2 linked regions of the Tamandua tetradactyla genome follow. The protein of the gene in region 1 interacts with the protein of each later gene in a biochemical or structural test. Links are inferred from orthologs where the notes say so. Each region holds a gene or a part of one and is shown in the gene's direction. Other genes may lie near its edges.

Region 1 (10,158 bases):
TGTGCAAATTTCTTCTTCTTTTAAGAACACCAAGTCATATTGGATCAGGGGTCCCTGCTACTCCAGTATGACCTTATTTTGATTTGCCTAATTCCATCCGAAATGACCCTATTTCCAAATAAAGTCACATTCTAAGGTACTGGGAGTTAAGACCTCAGCGTATCCTTTTGGGGGACATAATTCAATCTATAACACACTAGAATTGAAGTTTCATGAGATCAGAGACTGTGCCTGGCATACTCACTGCTGGCATATTCACTAGCGATCAGAAAGTACCTGGCATGTGATATATTGTTAACAAATATTTGTGAAATATATGTCAAATGTCACTCTTCTGCTTAGCACTCTCCAATGGATTTCAAATGCATTTAGAATAAAATCCAAACTCCTAACAATGGCCTAAAACTCTAAATGTTATCTGGGCTTTGCTTCCTTCTCTGGCTTTAGCTTAATATGCTTTTTCTCTTCCTTACTATGCTACAGTGTCTCTGGCTTTTTTTCTCTCAAATTATACAAGCTCAGGCCCTACACACACATTGCCAGTCAGGTCTCCCCACCCTTCTTCCATCCCCCCACCCCACCCCATTGCCCTTTCCAAGATATAGGCATATCTGGCTTTTTATCATTCAAGACTAACCCAAATGTCAACTTCTAAGAGAGGACTTCCCAGACCACCATATTTGGTGTTACTTCCCCAACTCTATGTCACTTTATCTTGTTTCATTTTATTCATAGCACTTATGAGCCCCTGAGGTTATGTATTTCTTTATTTACTTATTGTTTATCTTCTACACTAGGATGCAAATTCTTTGAAATCTGGGAATCCAATTTGTCATATATTACCAGTGCCTGGAACAATATAACAATGTTAATGTTCTGCGGCAACTCCACCCTCTTTCTTTTGATTTGCATTCCAGGGTTGATACCTGTGGCTCTCAGCCATTATATTGGTATTGAATTGACTATCATTCACTTTCCATTCCTAATGGACTGTTTATAGTCTGAACTTCTGTTTAGGCAACAGAGGTTGATAATCCCTTGTAAACCCCACCTGCTAAGAGTTGCACAGTTTCCCCAGACCAATGCAGCATTGAGTTGTACCACTTTACTTCCTCATTCAAGGTTAGAAGATGTAACCTTTTGGGGGGTCCAGAAATTTCTCGGGACTCTGATAAATTGACCGTGTTGTAAAAATAATGCACAGCATCACATACCAGTAAGTTTTATATATAATTTCCAGGGAGTCACAGAGCTCCTAAAGCGCATTTATGTTCTAATCTCTGCCCTAATATCCTTTCCCAGCACTGCTTCATGGCCTGCCCTATGAGGCAAAGAAACAGGAATAAGCTGGGAGGGGACAGATCTCTGTGAAAAAGATGAAGGGGTTTGGACAGAAAAAAAGGAAGAGCAAGAGGAATGAAGGAGGAGAACAGAGTGGAAAAGCTGAAGAAAAGCGTGAAGAAGGGGGTAAAAGAGTAGCTGAAAGAGAAACACAAGAATCCTTGAATACCAACTGCCTCAGTACTATCTCTGGTTAATAGCCCTGGTTGTGACCCTCAGAGAATTTATTTTCCCATGTTGATAGCAGAGTTTCAGATATTTAGAGGCCAAAGCAAATATATTCCTAAAGATATATAGATGAACATGTGATTAGATGATTTAAGATCATGTGGTGGTGAACTTATTTATGTGACATGCAAGGAGGCCCATCTCTTTGCAACAATTTGTTTGCTTGGGGAATAGTAACTGGTCCTTGCACACTCCTCATGCACTTCCCTCTTTGTCTCTTAACAAAGATGAGAATATAGAGTAGTGGGCTTGTAAGGAAGTTTCAAAGAGAATACTCGGGTTTCCTAAATATTTGACATACAGGTCAACAAGGTAAAATGACTTTGTAAACATGTGAGAATGAGACTGAGAACTACTTTGCTAGTTGGCCAAGTTTTGATAATGACTCATGTCCTTAAAACTTGATTCAGAGGGCTTTAGTTACTAGTCTGAAGAAATACAGCATGATTACTGGCATCATTCATTCTTTCAATGCAGATTTGTTAAACATCTATTACAATTAAGGCACAGCTAAGATATGGAAGGTATAAAATAGCATTATCCATCCCTTGTCACAACCTATAAGGTAAGGAAACTGAATGTATAAGTTTTTCCTCGGGGTATAATTTTAGAGATTTCTTAATGTAAATAGAAGAAGATTCTAATTTTTATTCTGTTTCACCTACAATAGTTTCTTCTCTTAACTTCATTTTCTGTAATGTATTGAAAATAAGAGAGTGTTACATCCATACTTTGTCCAGTAATTCAACTTTGAGGAAACTTGGTTTCTTCCTCTGCAAAATGGAGATTATAACCTCACTGGGAAGTTGTAGAAATTGTGCTCAACTGTTAAAATTTAGTGATAATGTACATATTGTGCTTGAAACACAATCAGCACTCAACAAATTGTATACATAGCCATAATTTTCTGTTAATGCCACCACATCTTTCTTGACCAAGTTTGAAAATATTTCCTTTATCCTTCCCACCCATATAAAATAAATTATCTTTTGGCTCTACTTTGAAAATGTTCCTTGTGATTGTCCTCTCCTTTCTATCTCTACTGTCACTGTCCTAATTCAGGCCTTACTTAATTTTCCCTACTCAAACCATTTTGTGTTGGGCAAACAGGTAAGTCTTCCTGAAACATGCTTTTCTGCTTCCTTGTTTAAAGCAAACACTTCAGTGGCTCTCCAGTGTCTACCAGCTAAAGCACAAACTCTGATGTTGAAGGTCTTCACAACCATACCTTTCTAATATTCTTTTCATTGTGCCCAACAGAAACCCTGTGCGACAGTCAAATTCGTTAGCCTGTCCTCCAGATCCAATTCTTTCTTCGGATCTACCTTGGAACCAATTTCTAATCACCCAATCATGTTGTTTCTAATCCCTTATAGGACTTCTAGAACATGGTGACACTTCTGTAGCATGTATTATATACTGAAATGTATTTGGATAGTGCCATAGGATAATGGTTAAAAGCCTAGTTACTACGGCCAGCTGTCCTGATTCAATTAAGAGACCACCTTGAATATAATACCCTACCATGGTAAGCACTCAATAACATTAACCATAATAATTATTATTGTTGTTGTATACATTTCTTGTCTCCCTAATAAAATGTTGCTAGAAATAAAAATCTTTGTATATCGATGGTACTTTTCTCAATTTTTGCCCTGTGAGCTTTTATGAGGCTTGCAGTTTGAATTAGTTGCTCACAATGGCTTTCTTACAGGTTCTGGGTTGACTTCCTTTTCTTCTTTTATGATGTGATAACTTCCGTTGCTGTAAGGGCTATGCTAACTCACACTCACTGTGATGTGTGATTTGAGCATACAGTTTTGTGCCCAACTTTTGTTTAGGGTTGATAAAACAAATAGTTTAACACGAGTATGTATGTGAATAAAACAATTGTCCTAAAGTAATAGGACATTGTCTTACAATTAATACTCACTACTGAATGTTCTCATGTGAAGAAGTGCCAAGTAGCTTATTAAGAACTGCCTCAAAAAGCTTTCATAAGTGCCCCTTATCTTGCCAAACTCGTTTTGTATAATGATTGGGAAAGAGGCTGGATTGATGAAAGAATAACATTTTATTTGAGATCTCAAAGCATTCAGCAAGACTGCACTCCATTTTGCAGACTGGGAACACTGACGTTTGCAGTGCTTCAATACATTTCCTTTGCCATCTAGGGAGAGGGAAGGACAAGCAACAGAATATCTTACATTCCAAAATATGCTGGGCTTTTCCTGAGTAATTGCACTTCTATTTTATCTTATGGCCATTGTGAGTGTACAACCAGACAGATTTCCCCTTCTGCCCTGCCTAATGAAAAAGAGTCAAATTTCTGGTTTATCTAGGGTTAGAGTATAAGACTTTAGCAACAAGTGCATTTCTTTTCCTGATTCCATGTTATCCTTATTTTTCCTTATTCTTTCCTACCCATTTTCAATTTGAGTCATCTTGTTCTAATATATATCTTTGTAAGGATCTGAAGTCTCTTTTCATACAAGATGGGCAATAAATACATTAAAACTAGTTTTGACACTCTTCACTTTTCCATTAGACTAAGGCTGGTTGTATAATGCAAACGCCACACCCTTTGGAGAGACCCACACTTGGGTTTGAATTCCAGCTTTGATACTTAATAAAAGTGGGACCTTGGGCAAATTACTTAAGCTTTCTAAGTTCCCTCTCTATAAAATGGAAATAATAGTTCAATAGTTCATCTCACAGAGATGACTTGTGGATAAAGTAAGACAATTCATGTAAATTACTTGGTGCGTAGTAGGCATTCAATAAATGTCAATTCCTTTCTTCTCCTAGTTGCTTGTTAAACTATATTAAAAACTAGAACTGGACTGTGATAATGCATTTCTTAATATTAAGTATTTAAGCCAATAACTAATTTCCCCCAGGGGGGAACAGAGAGAAATGTTTGAATTAGTTTCATTTGGGGAACTTATTTTCATAATCTTTTTTTCTTCAGCATGATTTAGCTTCACGGTCCCCAATTAGTTTTTATGCAACAAAACGTCACAGTTCAGTATTCCTCTTAACTCTACTGTGATTGTTGTTTTTATCTATTATTGCATCTGCTGCTTATTAGAGATCATTATTAGTCATATTAACAGTTGAATTGGTTTTTATAACTCCTTCATACTGTCAAATGTTTGCTCTCAACAATTTCCATGAGTTCTAAGGATTTAAAAGAGTCAAGTTTTTAATGGCAACGTTACAGCTCCAAACAAAACAAACAAGCCAAAATAACCCGGGCAGAAAAAAAAAATCTCCCCTCGACCGTGTTCTTTCGTGTTAATTTTATACGTTTGCAATTAAGTAGAGCTACGTTTGCCTTAAGGCCGAAATCAAAATGTGCTGAGATCTGAGAAAGGAAAGAAAAGTGGAAAGTGACTAATTGAGCTGGAACTACGGTACCGTTGCACCTTTAAGGCCTGGAGACTTGGTATTAGCTCGGCCTCCTTCCCAGCCCACCTCTGAACTCTGATTGACAGGTCGCCCGGCGAGGAGGAGCAGAAGGAGGCTGAAGAGGAGGTGCAGTGAGGAAAGTAGCGAGAGGAGGGGCCCGTCTTTTCTCTGATGGCCAATCAGCGGAGGGGGGCGGGGCTCCGCACGCCCTCCTCCCTCCTCTTCCCCGCCTCCTGGTGTCCCCGCCCCCTCTCCCCTTTCCTCTGCCCCCTCCCCTATCCTCCTTCTCGTCGTCCTCCTCCTTCTCCTCCTCCTCCTCTCAGGCTGTGGTTTTTCTGTATATGTTTCTGGAGTCCTGAGCCTGAGCTAAACAAAAGCAGGAGGCTGACGGGGTTGCTGGAGTTTGCAGAGACACGGAGGAGAAGAGAGCCTGTGCTTTGCCTGCTGCCGCGGCTGGGGGAGATCTGGCTTTTGCAACAGCCCACCCCCTTTGAGATCACTCTGGCCCGGAGTGGGGGTGGGGGCAGCGGGGGGTGGGGGGGGGAAAGTTTGCATTGCAATCCCCCTGCCTTCCTTCCCTTTCTCCCGATCAATGCATATTTGCAAAAGGATTAAGCTACAGATTTAAGCGCCGGGACCCATTTCTGCTTTGCAAAGGAGACCGGACTGGGAAACCAAAAGCCAGCTCTGATTTCTTTTCGCCAAGTGGGAAGGTGGTTTATTTTTCTTGCTTTTTTGGAGTCAACACCCTTCCCCGCCAGCCCTTATCCCCACCCTCACCCCGCAACCCCTTCACGCCCCCTCCCCCTCCCCACTCCCCATCCTCCCACCATCCTCTAAAGAGGCAAAGGGATTTTTTTTTTCTTTTGGTCTTCTTTTTCTCTCCTTCCCTGTTTATCCTGAAAAGGATTTGAAGACAGCTTGAAGGATAAAAAGCCTTGGTGCTTTCCAGGAGCCAAGCCGAGAAGAAGAGGAAGAGCCGGGGCCGCCGTTGCCTTTGGAGATGGACGAGCAGCCCAGGCTGATGCATTCCCATGCTGGGGTCGGGATGGCCGGACACCCCGGCCTGTCCCAGCACTTGCAGGATGGGGCCGGAGGGACCGAGGGGGAGGGCGGGAGGAAGCAGGACATTGGAGACATTTTACAGCAAATTATGACCATCACAGACCAGAGTTTGGATGAGGCGCAGGCCAGGTGAGATGGAGGCTTTTCTTTTCCTTTCTTGGGTTTTTTTGTTTGTTTGTTTGTTTTTCCCCCACTCGCTGAGGGGAAACAATGGGAAGCGATCACCACAGCGCTTTCTTTTTAAATGTTATTTCTTTTCCCATTTTGACGAGCAGCTACATGGCGGAGGAGTAAAATTTGCAGGAGCGTTGTTATCGAAAGTGTAATCGCCCATGCCGTGATGTGGCTGTGTATACATATATCTAGATAGATGTGTGTGTATGAATATAGAAATACTCATATATAGCCACAAAAACATTCAGGGACGCTGAAAATGCTGCCAACTGATCCAGAAGCGGCCCTCGGCACTATTTACTGCTTTTAAAAAAAGTATCAGAGAAAGCAGAATTGTCAAGTTTTGAGCAGCATTCCATGCCTTCTTATTGAGGGACTCCGTTACATTACAAATAAAAGGTCCCAGGAACACTTTATTTGCAAATTTAGTTGTCTCCTTGCCTAATTCAGCGCAATTTTCTTTCTTGACTTACCCCTCCAAAATTAATGATATTTTCCCCCTTTATTCCCCCCCCTTCAAAAATCAGGGCATTTCTTTGTCAATAGTTGTCAGCTATCCGGAGAATATTTTGTTTTCACTTAATTCTATCTCAAAAAAAAAAAAACTAGTGGAAAGAAAGAGAATACAATTTTGCATTTAGACATATTTGTTCGGTCTAAGAGACTGAGATAATTCTGTTTAACTTTATTGTCTCAATTTGAGTCGGTTTACTAACCTTGGGTGACACGGACAGCTCTGTATGGTCCTTTAAAAAGGGGTGGGGGATAAAAATTAAGCATGCTCTTTTCCCCATGCTTTCTTCAGCACGGCTTAAAATGCAACTAAATAAAAAGGAAAGCATGTGTGAATTTTATGTATTTCAATACTGTAGGGCATGAAGATCTTCATTAAGGAAAAAGAAGCTGTGAAGCTTCCCAACTTAATCCACCGCCAGGTATATAGTCCTCCACTCTAGGATTTTACAGTAAATTCTCTTTCAAATAAAACAGACTAAGTGGCAACCTACTAACAGCTTGTCCAAGGCGGAGCTCAAAAGGGAGAATTTTAAAAACTAATGACCACATATGTCCATTCAATTACCCAGCTTTGTTAAATCTCAGAAGTATTCTCCTCATTCTGAAAATCTTCTAAACATATGTACATCATTCCTATATCGCAAATAGACTTAGTTATAGTAGTAGAAGACATCATTACATCATTATATGTATTTTGTCTTAAGGGAAATAGAAGTTTGAGTTGAGAAAATGAGAAGTGGTAGTAAAAAGCATGAATGCATGAATTACAGTCTTATTTTAGCTGTAAGCACATGCAACATGTAAACTCAAAAGTACTGAGCTTTACGGGTGCTCGAAAACTTGGAAATGTTCAAAGACTCGAACTATTCTAATTTTTTTTAATGGGGAAAAGTTTTCAGAAATTAATTGCTGTTCTTTGTGAATTTTATTACCTGTTCTCTTTTGAATTGGAACAGATTTCTCCATTACATTGATCCAGAAAAATACTCTGGATTATTTGCAAGTTTGTGAAGTGGAAGAGGCCAGTAAAAACGGTTACACACTACTTTTCTGATGTGTTGTCCTTCATTTTTTATGAAACTGAGGACAAACATGGCTTTGGGGGGGTCCCCCTTTTAAAGGCCTGGATGCTTAGAAAGATCAGACCATTTGGGGATAGGGAAATTCTCTGTTCTAGTACCCCATTTGTATGTTATGGAAATGGAATATTTGTGTAAGGCTGTGCAGGGATTTTTGTTTACACTTGGGCCTATGTTTAAGAATACAATTAATGAAAACTATTTTAAAAGATCACAAAAGAGGTCTTGAGTACATTAAAGAAGTCTTTTCTGCCCTTTCTCTCATTCCATATGAGGACTGATTAAATCACCAGTCTGCTTTCTTTTTGGTTAAACGATGTAACTCTATGTAGCAAATACTATGTCCTTTTTTCTTTTTCTCCAGTCATACCTTCATGATGTATATTAATGATTTACTCTGTAAATCATTAATATTTTAGACACAGACTGTGAGTTTATTTGGATAGTCATGAATTCTGAGCTTGTTAAACCTCTGCTCTACATTATTTACAGTATGCTTCTGGTTCATGAGGATGTGTATCTATTTTTTAACTTTCAAAGGGTTTAAAAATAAATTGCATGTGTTTTGAGAGCCAAGGATTTCCATTTATCTTTACACATTCATTTTAGTTAACAGAATTCCCTTGACTAATAGCTGATAGGACCAGTATTTTGTTTCCAAAACAATATCCTTCTGCTAAATGATTTTATAATAAAATAAAGGAAAAGGTATTGTTTTGTTCCTCTGGTGCATTCTGAATTCAAACACATGCAAGAATCAGGTAAATCACTAATCTAAAAGGCAGAATAGTATTTATTTTTTTCCCCAATGGGTGCAAGATTCTAATTGTAAATAATTGAATTTCAACACCTGCAAACAGGCAGTGTGTGCACAAGAGGCATAATGTGAACACCGAGAAATGAATTTATTCCCCATATGGGTATGTTTGCCCCCTGGCAATGCATTTCCATACTCTTTAAGTTGGGGACTGAAATTTTATAAATTGACAGTTCTACACAGAAGACCTTTCAAGCATCTTGTGTTTATGAGAATACAGGGGCATCTGCGGAATGAATTCGAACACATGGATGAATTAAATTTGAAAACACACACACAGACCGGGAGGCAGACGGCTCCTAGGCTGTGGTGGTTGCATAGATTATTCAGAACTGTTAACACATGCATTTGGCCTTGCTGTACTCATTGCTTTGGCTAGGAGTATTGGTTTAAGAATTCCACTTTGATTAAACTACTTAAAAAACAACAACAACTTTGTCTAAATGGGCATAATTTAGGTTAGTTCTGTTCTGCAGTTAAATCCCTATTCTCTCCCTACTGATGAACAGTATTTCTTTTTCTATGGTGGGACTCGCATATTAAGTCATAAAAACAACCGAAGCATGCCACAGAGTTACGCTTGGGATATAATTTTGGCTAAATGTTTAAATTTTCTTCCCTGGTGCATTATCAGCATTTGATCTTGAAAGTCTACCTAAGCTATCGTGTTGTTTCTTTCTTGCAGAAAACATGCTTTAAACTGCCACAGAATGAAGCCTGCCTTGTTTAATGTGTTGTGTGAAATCAAAGAAAAAACAGGTAGGAATGTGATTTCAGTATTTAAGCATTTTCTTTGTCAGTTGATTCACTCAGCAGCAAACACTAACCCATTATTTAAATATTAAAATTTCAGAATATAAGTACTATCAAGACTGATCGCATTTTTCAATAGGAACTTCTAGCCCAGCTTCCTTTAAAGAATGCACTAAGTTTCCTTGACAATTATTATCAAGTGTAACTGGTTTATTTTCCTTTTCTCCATTCCTGGCCTACTTGAAATTGAAATAATAATACAGGTTCTGAAGGGAATTTTATAAAATGTTGTGCCTTTGGGGGAAAATTATGAAAGTAAAAACCCCATGTCCTGAAGGAATATATTTGTCCCATATTTAAAACTGTAATTATTGCTATTATTTTTTGGAGTTGGGCATGGGGGTAGGACGGGCACTGAGCTGTTTTAAAGTTATCTTTTCTTTTTTTCTTGAAGTTACACGAAGCAGCAGACCAGAGGTTCGAAAGCAGAGTGTTGTCAATACCTTTGTGGTATCACAACATTCGGCTGTCGGTATCTGACTGCCCTGTGATTTTATAGCAGGGAGGACCGCTGGGTTTAGGAGAGTATAATGCCATGAGATCACTCATTCTCTTGTTTTTCTACTTTCTAGACCTCATATCATGGACTAACACACTTATAACACTTCCCAGGAGGGCATTTAAATTTTAAAGCAACAATTAAAAAATAGCAGTCATCAATCAGAGGTGTTCTTAAACAACAGATGCTCTGGGAAGGACATTTAGCAACATCCT
Region 2 (10,996 bases), on another chromosome or scaffold:
TTTGCTGAGGCTAATTCCCTTAATAATTCCAATCCTGTTATTGGAATCCTTTATAAATGGAATCAATATGGAAAGAGAGAGAAAGTCATGGAAACAAGAGGCTGAAATCAACAAAACTGGGAAGAGAAGGGAGAGACCAGGAGATGCCACCATGTGCCTTGTCTTGTGACAAAGGAGCCAGATTGCCAGCAGCCAGCCTTTGGGACAAAAGCATCACCTTGATAATGTCTTGATTTGGACATTTTCTCAGCCTCAAAACTGAATCAATTCCCATTGTTTAACCCAACCCAATTCATTGTATTTGCTCTGAGAAGCCCAGGAAATGAAAACACCTTCCTTACTTCTTCAAGCTTCTGGTGTTTGCTGGCGATCCCTGTTTCCTTGGTTTGTGGTTGCATAATTCCAATCTCTGCTTCCTCTGTCACCATATGTTCTTCTCTGTCTTCTCATCTAAGGAACTCATACCTGGCTTTACGGTTCACATAATCCAGGATGATCTCATTTTGAGGTCCTTCCCTTAATTATCTCTCCAAAGACCTTTACCCAAAATACGGTCACGTACTGAGATTCTGGGAGGACAAATCTTTTGGGGAACACACCTCATTCAACTCCCTACACATGTAGCAAACACCAAAGCATAGTGTGATTCTGACAGTTCCCTTTCTTTCTCAGATCAGTAAGGAATACCCAAACAGAAGAAACTGGAAGCTTCCAGGAGAGAGGGCTTTGTCAACCAACATCCCTGGACCCCGACACTGGGCAGCAGGCTGGGGGACCAAGTCTACTCAGCCCTGTGGAGGATCCAGCTGTTGTTACTTTGTGGCTTTGACAGGAAAAATATTTTTACAAAAATGACATCATAGACAACATCCTTTGCCTGAATATAGTATAGAAACTGGCCCATTCTTAAATTAGAGAGTTAAAACAGTACTCCATTTTGAAAAGTTGCTGGTTGCAAGAAGGCAGCATGGCTGCTCTGCCATTTGTAGCTACTACAGTTGGGGCATCTGTTCTAGTACCCCCCCCCCCCCAAAAAAAAATTTCCTGATCTCTGCAGGCCTCCCAGTTTTAGGAACCGGTTGTCTGAGGTTTGGGCAGCAGTTGGTCGTGGGTAGTACTTGGCAGCTGAGACCATGAAGAAGCAAATGCTGTCTAAGAGGAGACACATAGAGAAGCTTCTAGATGTCCACCTGGCTGTTCTGGGGAGATGGTGGGATCAAACTTGTTTTTCACTAGGAAAGTTGCCCAAAACCCTGCACAATCAATGTAATGCCCAGTGTTCTTTGTTTCCATTGCAGTGTTTTGAGTTGTTGGTTGTAATTTCAGGTAAATCAAGCCTTGTGGGCAGTAAGCATGGGAGACCAGGGACCCACCACCATGCTCTATCCAGGGTGGACCCCCATAAACATTTTACTGATGAACAGATTTTAAGTTAATGACCAAGGGACACCCCTAGTAGGCCGAATCATTCTGGGATTGAGGTTATAGCCCACCGGTTCTGAGTGTCCTCGGCAGGGGCATGTGTGGACCTGTACTAACTTGTCCGAAAGCTTCACTCCAACTGGACTGTGGAACACCTGCATCCGTGGGAAGGGACGCAGTTAAGAATTCTCCCGAAGCAAGGACGTATGCATTAGATGCTGTGTTAGTGTGCAAGCTGCTGGAATGTGATACATCAGAACTGGAACAGCTTTTAAAAAGGGGAATTTAATAAGTTATAAGTTTACAGTTCTACGGAAGTGGAAGTGTCCAAATTAAGGCACCAACAAGAGGTCACGTTCATTCAAGAAAGGCTGATGCTGTCCGGAACAGCTCTGTCAGCTGGGAAGTCATGTGGCTGGCATCTGCTGGTCCCTTGCTTCTGGGCTCTGTTGCTTTCAGTCTCTGTCCATGTGGGGGTCTCCACTTTGCTTCCCTGGGGCTGGCTTTCAACTCTTGGTTTCCCTTGGCTCTCTGCAGGTTCTGGCTGGCTTAACATTTCATGGGAAAACACACGGCAATGTTTGCTAGGCTCCAAGCATCTCTAAACATCCGTGTCTCTGCTCTCTCTGTTGACCCTAAAGCTTCTGTTGGCTCTCTCTGTTGTTTTTGTCATTTCATGAAGTTTCTCCGGGGATATTTTCTTTCTTCATCTCCAAAGGTCTCTCCTGCATGGGCTCTGTTGGTTCTGGTGACTCTGAAGCTTTTTCCAAAATGGTTCCCTCTTTAAGGGTTCCAGTAAGCAACTGTACCTTGAATGGGTAGAAAGGAGACACATCTCCATGGAAACCGTCTAATCAAAGGTCACCACCCACAACTGGGTGGGTCATATCTCCATGGAAACAATAAAAAAGATCCTACCCAACAATATTGAATGAGGATTATTAAAGAACATGGCTATTCTGGCGTCCACAACAGATTCAAACCGGCACACGTGCTTTGATCAAAGCGCAGGACCTCTTTTCCCTGACAGTCCTGCCTGGTCAGCTGTGCTTCTAGGTTAGGATTTCCTCAACCACTAGGCCCCAAGATCCTGTAGGAAATTTGGAATACACATACAAAAAATAGTACTAAGTGTGTCCAGTGGGCAAGTAGGCATTCTTCTGCTTCTTCTGTGGTATATATATATGGTAACATATATACAAACTAACATTTCCCACTTTAACTTCTTTCAAGTACACAATTCAGTGACCATAATTATCTTCACGATGTGCCACCATCACCACCCTCCATTCCCCAAACATTTCCGTCCCCCAGAGAGGGGAACCCCACAGTCCTGAGTGCTCACTCTTCTGGGGTCTCCGATTGTAGCCCTTCATTGACTTTGGAGAGAAATGAGGATAATGCAAATCATTTTTGTCTGTGGACATGCAAATGGGTTCTGAATGGAGGAGGGACAAGCTCTGGCCCCAGCCTCACCAACCCTCCCACCCAAAGGCCAGTTTTGCACAATTGGCAAGTGCATGCCAATATTCCTGATCCATAAATCTTATTGTTCTTTGCATTCTCCTTTAAGTCGGCTCCAACAGCTTCCTGTTCCCTCATTTAATTAATGAATTCATTAAAATTCATGCCATGTGTTCATTTTATATCTGTATGGGAGGCATGACTTCTTTTTTAACTGTCTTTTAACATGGATAAACCTCACATCTGGCTGCACTGCCATTTCCCTGCTGCACTCTGATGGGGTCCTTGGGGAAGCGAAGCTGACGGCATTAGCTGCCTTGACCCCCAAGGGTCTACTGGGCCCTGGGTGCTTACCACCCGCCACTTCCTTTCCTCCGCCACGCAATCCCATGATAGCCGCACTATCACTATTTGAAGATGGAGGAAACTGGAGCTCAGTAACCAGCAAAGCCAGGCTCTCTTGACATTCAGGACTTTTGACTCCAGGCCCAAGGCTCTTCTGGCTCCATCACAACTGCCTCTTTTACACAGCAGAAAAAAACGCCACCTGTGGTGGGCAGGCTGTGGGACGGGCCCCCAGGGCCCTCTCTCCCTGGCACTCACGCTCTCAGCAATCCTTCCCCCTGCATGTGGGCGGGACCTGGGACTTGCTGCTAACCCTCAGGATACAGAGAAAGGATGGGGTGTCACTTCTGTGATTACATAAGCTTGTCCCTTACGTCCTGCCAGCTGCAGAGTGTGGAGGCCGCGTGGCTGGGCCTCAGAATGGCCAGCGGCCTGGGGGAAACGAGGCCGCAGTCCAGTGGCCGCAGGACCTGACCCCTGCCCATGGGTGAGCCTGGAAACAGATTCGTTTTCACCCTGCCCGGCTGACGCTTTGTCTGTGGCCTGATGGGGATACCCTGTGGCTGAGCGCCCGGCTAAGCCATGCCCTGATCTCAAGCCAGAGAAGCCATGAGATCACAGTGTAAGTCGTTCCAGGCCGCTAAGTTTGTGGCCATTTGTTACACAGCATTATTAGTTCCCTAGCACTTGTAGTAGCACTAGTTGTACCCACCATGTCCTAGAAAGGTTACTTCAGCTAAGGAAAGAGAGAGAGAGAGAAAAAAAAAGCCATGGGAAGCAAAAAGTTGAAATCAATGAAACTCGAAAAAGTAGAGAGAGAGCAGCCACGGCCACTGGGTGCCGTGTCACATGGCACAAGAGACAAGAAGGCCTATCAGTGGGTCTTCAGGAAGAAGGCATCACTTTGATATGGCTTGATCTGAACTTTCTTTTAGCCTCAAAATCATAAGCAAATAAATTCCCATATCCTGGTGTTTGCTTGAGAAGCCTAGAAAACTACAGTGAGTATCTTCTGAGAAAGCGATACTGGTACCAAGGCTATGGGGAGGTGGGAGGGTGCCCTGAGGTGCCGTTGGGAAGAGTGTTTCGGGTGAGGGAACAGCAAGCCTGGTGTGACCAAGGAGCAGCAAGGCAAGTGGTGGCTGCAGCAGAGCCGGCCAGGGACAGGGCAGCTGGGGTTGAGCTACTATGGCAAAATGAAAAGTTGGCAAGTCTAATTTAAGCTTTGGGTCATTCATAAGATTCCCTGGGTTGCTCTTTGGATAGGTCATATTTTTAAAAGGATCATCCACCCCACTCATGGCTCATGACTTCCTGTCCCCACACACCTCTGCAAACCCAAGCAGTTTAGCTAACCAAAGTGGTTGCCTTGAAAACCAGGCCCAAACCCTTACTTTTACATGGCTGTCTTGCTCATTTTTCTTATCCACGCCCCTCCAGCTCCTCACCCACCTTAAGAACAACCACAGCCATGCCCTCCCCCAGCCCCTCCCGCCTCTCCAGCTGGCCAAGCAGCATGTAGGGAATTTGGCCAGGTCTGGGTCACAGCCTGCTTTCCGGACTGCGGTCACCTGCGTTGGGTACGGTCCAGTCTCTCCTTTTCTTTAGACCCCCAACACCTGGGACAGGCCGGGCCCAGAGCGGGTGCTCCCTCGCCAAGGCTGGCACTAGGCAACAGTCACTTCTTGTGCCCCTCAAGGCGTCTCCGCCTCTTTGCCTGCCTACCCTCCACGACCCGCGCGGTGCCCGTCCTGTTTGGCCCACCGGGCAGGCTCAACTGGCCCAGCACAGGTAGGATTGGAATCCCTCTCTGGTGAGGCAAGGGCTGGAAATATCAGGATAAATATAGGAGCACAAAGATGTGACTGCTCATCTCTAGATGAAATCACGTCAATGAGCTCTGGAAACCCGTTTTGCAAATCTAAGTGCCGAGACAGTTCTTTTAGCCCTATAATTTGTACCTAGTGCAACTGATGAGAGGCAGAATTCTACGCGCCTAGTCCCACCGACAATTACACACGGCCTTTTAATTCACACACCTGAACACGGTCCTCGGGGAAAGAGTAACAGATCTTTGGTAGAAACTCGGCGGAAAGCAGGAGGAATGGCTGGCTACTTAAACGAAAATATGCAAAGAAGATGTGTTTGGGTTTTTTCTTCGAAGCTCCCGCGCCTTGGGGATAGACGGCGTTCCCGGCCCGGGACCCTTGAGCCCCCGGGCCTGCGTGGGCCGAGGCTAGTCCGCAGGCCCGCACGACCTCCGCCCCGGCCCCGGCCCCGGGCTCCGCAGCAGCGCGCACGTGCTCACTCCGACGGCCCCGACTCCGGCGCAGGCGCGCGGCCTCCGAGACCGGAAAGGGCCGCGGGGTGCGGGACCCAGCCCAGGTCCCCAGCGCACAGCGGGCCCGGACAGACGCGTCGGTCTGCGGAGGCTCAGAGGGCGGGCCGGGAACACTACCGGCCGCCCGCGGTCCAGCCCTGGCCCCTCCCCGACCGCGGAAGATAGTCTCGCCCATCTGCGCCCCGCCCGCCGCTCTCGGCCGGGCAGCAACTACGAGCTGCGGTGGCAGGCAAAGGGGCGCGGCACGCTCTGGAGGCCACGCCCTCATCTGCATAGTCATGACGGGTATCTCCGCCTTCGGGGAGGGGCGGGCCTTCCCGCGCGCCCGCTCGGCCGGAGGGGGCGTGGCCCGGCTGCAGCGCGAGTTGGGGTGGGGCCGGCGCCGACCAGGCCCCCGGCGCGCTCTCCGCCCCTTCAGCGCAGGCCCCGCCCCCGCCCGCCGTCTGGCAGGGCGCGGGGCGGGGCGCGTCGCTGGAAGGCCCCGCCCCCTCTGTGAATATTGATGCTGCGCGCGTCGGCGTCGCCCTCCTCCCATTGAGCGAGGCTGTGTCGCGTGGCCCGGCGTCGGCGTGACGGTTGGACGCGGGCGCGGCACTGCGGGTCCCGATTGCTGCAGCCGCTTGTCAGTGTGATGAAGATTGGCACCCAGGTAAGCTGTCACTCAACCGCTCCGCCGCCGCCGCCGCCGCTCGCCGCCGCCGCCGTCCCTATCAATCACACCGGCCGCCGCCGCCCCGCCGCCCCGCCGCCACCCGACGCCTGGCTGTCGGCGGGGCGGGACGCCAAGCAGGCCCCCGCACTTGACCCGCCGCCCCGGGGCAGGGGCGAGGGGGGCGCGGTGGGGGAGGGGTGCGGGCGGCGGCGGGGCGGGGGCGCCGTCCACGCCGGGACCCACTCGGGGTCGCGCCGAGTTTGTTTTTAAGTGAGGGTTGAGGTGGGAGGAAATTTCTGGAAGGCGCCGCCACGCTGGGCCCGCTGCGAGGCGCGCCCTCCTAACCGTCCCCTTCGGAGCGCGGCGCGCGCCCCTGCGGGGGTGGAAGGGCGGTGCACGGGGGCGCGCCAGGCGCGGGCGGCGCGCGGGGGCGCGCGGGCTGGGCGGGCCTGGCTGAGAGGCCCGCGGGGGCGCGCGCCGGCCCGGGCCTGGGTGTAGGCGGGTCGCGAGCCTCGCGGTCCCCGTAGCGGTGGGGGGGGGTCGCGGGCTCGCGCGCGGGTGGGGGCGGGAAGATGGCGGCCGCCGGGCGGAGGTCGGGACGCATCCCCGCGGTGCCTCTCTCCTTGCAGCCCCCCTCCTCGCAGCCCTCCTCTCCTCGCAGGGCCCTTCCCCCTCGTAGGTCGCCTCCTCTCAGCTTCCCCCCTGCTCCCCCTCCCCTCGCGTCCCACCCTGGCCTGCGGCCCTGGGAGCGCGCGGAATGCAGCCCGCGGCCACCGCCGGGTCCGAGCGTTTTCGGGGCGCGGGGTGGTGCACGGGGGTCGCACTGGGGGCTGTCCCGCCGGAGCGTCGGGCTGGTCTTGTGGAATTAGTTACAGAGGTGTGAGGCGCGGCGTCAGTTTGGGGTGGATGACCGCAGGGTCCGGAGTGGCCTGGCCGAGCGGCTCGCGGGCGTTCCTTTAGGGAGGAATCGTGAGTCACCTGAAAAGGCTTGAGAAGCTCGAGTCTGCTTTCTGTCCTCCCGCGGGCTCCTGGAATGCCGGTTCCTGATGGTGCCCGAGACCCGCTGGGAGGCCCTCTGTGATGCTTGGCCCCTGCGGAGGCCGGTCGGAAGGGAGTGCGTGTTCGGTGCATGGGCGCAGGCTTGCAGCGCTCCAGAATAGATTTGTCACATGTAAGAGCAGCTTAACGTAGTTATTTAGAGTATAAGCATTCGTTGATTTATGAGAGTGACCGAATTTCCTTAGGAAGGGGTTGCTTTCCCCCTTACGGTAGTTAAGTGTAACTTTAGGGGCTTTCGCTAAATATTAGAGCAAGAATTGAGGTCAACTGTACGTTTGCCAGTGTAGATCTCGGTAATGTCCTGAATCTCAGGTAGGTACAGTGGTCTGGACGAGGCAGGCTGCCTCCGATCTGCCCCCCCACCCATTTTACTATTTTTCCTGAATTTGCTTACGGTGGGGGGTGATATCTGGCTCGCTTATTTCATTGAGTCTGCCACTCAAAGAGACAATGAGTCTCTTGTGTATGCAGCTAGAATGATACCGCTGACAGTGCTTTCCTTTGAAGGAGCCCCACAAAATTTCGGAGATTTAAGTGTTTTGGAATTGATGAATCATGGTGGGTGAAAGATGACTTGCGTTTTAAGCTTGTGATTTAACAGACTAGTTGTTAATGACACCAGGGCCAAAGTGTTTTTTTGAGATTCCTTTCCTCTGTTTTATAGATATTTTAAACCCAGGCACTGTATTGTAACTGTTTAGAATAGTATTACATATGAATAGTAGCTTTCTACTTACAACGTTCACTTTTGTTGCATAATTGCATTTGAAACATTAGAAAAGGAAAGGCCTGAAACTGCTAAAGTGATGCAAAGTGTGCCCCCTGGGGTGTCCTAAACTTTACTTCTCCCTCCCACCTCCCTCAGGCTTCTTTCTGTCTCTTCAGAGAAACACTAAAATGAAAAGGATCAAGAAGGAAGCTACTTACCACTGAAAAATACAGTTACCAAAATATTGGAAAACACATTGGTGATAAATTACTGTACCGTGCTCTTTATTAACTCACCAAGTGACAAGATCCAGTAGCAGATCTGATAATTTTGGAGTTTGATGAGCATAACTGATATTTTGAAATTTCTGAAACAACTTAATGTTTTATGAAAATGCCTGTGATTTCTCTTAGGGGAAGAGTCCCAGGTCCTCCTAAAGCTGTGGCATTTACGGTCTGCGTTTGTAATTGGAGAACACAGCCTTTCAGCTGGCATTTAGTGCACACAGACAGCTGATAGTTTTTCTCATTCCAGGTCACAGATACCAAGTAAAGAGCCCCTGCACTATAAGTCTATTTACTCATGGGAAATGTAGGTGCCCTTCTCTTTTATCTTCCTCAAACGAGTAGAATAGTTGCACAGATGGTACAGGTGACCATGGCAGGTGTGGGAGTAGCAGTAGGCACGTGGGGTTCCCCAATGGTGACTACTCTGGGTTTTGCAAAAACTCTAAGAAGGCCCTCAAGGTGGTAATATACTTTAGAAAAAGTTCATTTGGTGGACATTGTAAAACATTTCGGGGCAGGGAGCGTCAGTCCTTTGATGGAATTAGCCAGCAGGCCTGGCTACGATTGCTGGCCCAGGGCCTTGCTTTTCTTTCTGTCAGATGAGCCTCAGTATACCTACCCTGTTGGCCTGCCATCCTGGTCCTGCTGGTCGGAGCACCCAGCCTGCCGCCTGCCTTCAGCAAACAGCCCCTTGTTTCTGAGGTTTAAAGTGATGGTTTCTGGAAAATCCACAGCACGAAATTAAGCAAATGTATAGTCTGAAATGGCTTAAAATTCCTGTTTCCCTGAAGTACTGGTTCACAGAACACAGCTCAGGGACTTTGGAAGGGGCAGAAACAGTGTTTCAGTCTTAGCCATTTTATATGTAGCAGGGCTGGTCAATGAAAGATTTCTTTGGGGAAAGGTTCTGCAGCTTTTTAAAAACTTGGAGACAGATGACTTGAGGTTGAGAGATTGAGGGTCTTTGAGTTAGTAAAGTTTTGGATTCATTTTATTGTACTGGGACTTTCTCTAAAATGGGTTCCCCCATGGGACTGTCATCCAGGCCTTCTCTTTCCCTCCTTAGGGTTAGGGTTACCTGATGGACAGGCATGGCTAGTATCCCTCCCTGTGTGAGATCATTTCTGCTCAGGGGGAGTGGGATCCCGTCACCCAGAAAGCATGTTCCCCACATGCTTTCTGGGGTTACCCTCCAGCTGAGCGGACTGTACCCAGGGAAGCCACCCGGGAGACTGGACTGGGGCCCTTTCTTCAGGTCTCGGGGACGTGGAGCAGGCTTTCTTCAGGCCCTGGAGATCAGGATCACTTAGTGATAGGGAAAAGGGGTCATGGGGATCCGAGGGACGGTCATCATCCTTGGTCTGGGAGTGCAGGTGCGCTCTGGAAGGCTCCAGCCCCTGCCCGGCCTCGGCCTTGCCTGTTGAGAGAGAGCCTGTGGTCCCCACAGCCCTCTCAGCCCCCAAGGGCCCCTGGGTGCTCCTCTTCCCAGGGCACACTTCGGAGCACGTGCAGGGTGGCGTGGCCCCAAACACGCCTTAATGTAGGGTGTGTGTGGCTCTGTTAGGTGTTGTTTAACATATTCTCTCAAGGTTTGTATTGAAAAAATTTAGGAATTTAGGCAGTGCAACGGTGGCTCGGTGGCAGTGGTTCTCGCCTGCTGTGCCAGAGACCTGGGTTCAAATCCTGGAGCCTGCCAATGCCAAAAAAAAAATTAGGCATTTACAGGAAAAAAGACACGTAATCAATATCAAATTTTGTTAAGCTTGAACATTTGTCTAAATTTAGTTCTGTGTTTATGCATACGTTTTTACATGATCAGTTAAGCTCTCTGTGTGGCATTTTTAGGTAATGTTATTATGTATATTTCTATGTATTTATATAACCCACCGTTTGCCATTTAAGGAATGTATCTAAGACTTCTTCTCAAACCACTTTGTGATTCTGCTCTATTCCTGTACCTTTTAGGGCTGTGCCAGATGTGGTTCTGTTTAGTTTACATCTGAAAGCTGTTTTTTTCCTGGCTTTGGGGTAGCTACTGGGCTGGGGGCCTGGGGTGAGGAAGGTGTGAGCCGTTGGGAAGCACAGGCACACTGGTGGCCATTCCTGCTGGGCTTTGTCCCTGGGCACAGATGGTGCCTAGAAACAAAGATAGTCTATGTGAAAAGGGGCCCTGACTCAAAGGCTGGGGCTCCTGGTTTCCATAAACCAGGCCCATCCACCCTTAGTACCAAGTACATGAGGAAAGTTTCAAGTGTCAGTTTTTACTGATGCCATGACAAACGTGGTCTTAAGAAGTTTATATTTTAATTTAAATTCTGCCAGCTGTAATGACCACTCAGATCAGAGTCTGTTAAAACAAATTCTGAAGCACTGAATTATGTTTGTTATTAGAATTTTTCTCTGTCTTTAGTGGACATATGTAGACCTTTGGGGTTTGAAAATAGTTTTTTTGTACAGAGATTTGATTTTAACAGAATTTGATATCTGTGATTTTATTTGAAATATTGAACTTCCAGTGGTACCTCTCCCCCCACCTTCTTTGAAAAATAAAGTGATTTCTTGACAAATGTGCTCCTCAGAGTGGATTATTGACTGCACATCTCTCTGGGGCAGGGGATATGAAGCCCAGGCTAGAAGACAGATTGGGAGGGCTCATCTGTACACGGTTGGTGCCTGAGACGTCTTCACATGCAGAATGAAAACTCCTCGAACGGTGG

What was found.
Region 2: the proteins of PBX1 (region 1) and PKNOX1 form a complex in vitro, tested with the Homo sapiens proteins (2 studies listed by BioGRID). The link is inferred for Tamandua tetradactyla from reciprocal best matches to the Homo sapiens genes PBX1 and PKNOX1.

Annotation. Positions count from the first base shown.
Region 1 is NC_135330.1:17,807,191-17,817,348, forward strand, and holds the start of PBX1 (pre-B-cell leukemia transcription factor 1), read left to right. Parts: upstream 1-5,246; 5' UTR 5,247-5,693; exon of another isoform or gene 5,694-5,932; 5' UTR 5,933-5,983; coding exon 5,984-6,174; intron 6,175-9,316; coding exon 9,317-9,390; intron 9,391-10,158. UniProt on the Homo sapiens protein: Transcription factor which binds the DNA sequence 5'-TGATTGAT-3' as part of a heterodimer with HOX proteins such as HOXA1, HOXA5, HOXB7 and HOXB8. Binds to the DNA sequence 5'-TGATTGAC-3' in complex with a nuclear factor which is not a class I HOX protein.
Region 2 is NC_135336.1:100,389,652-100,400,647, forward strand, and holds the start of PKNOX1 (homeobox protein PKNOX1), read left to right. Parts: upstream 1-6,092; 5' UTR 6,093-6,221; intron 6,222-7,062; exon of another isoform or gene 7,063-10,996. UniProt on the Homo sapiens protein: Activates transcription in the presence of PBX1A and HOXA1.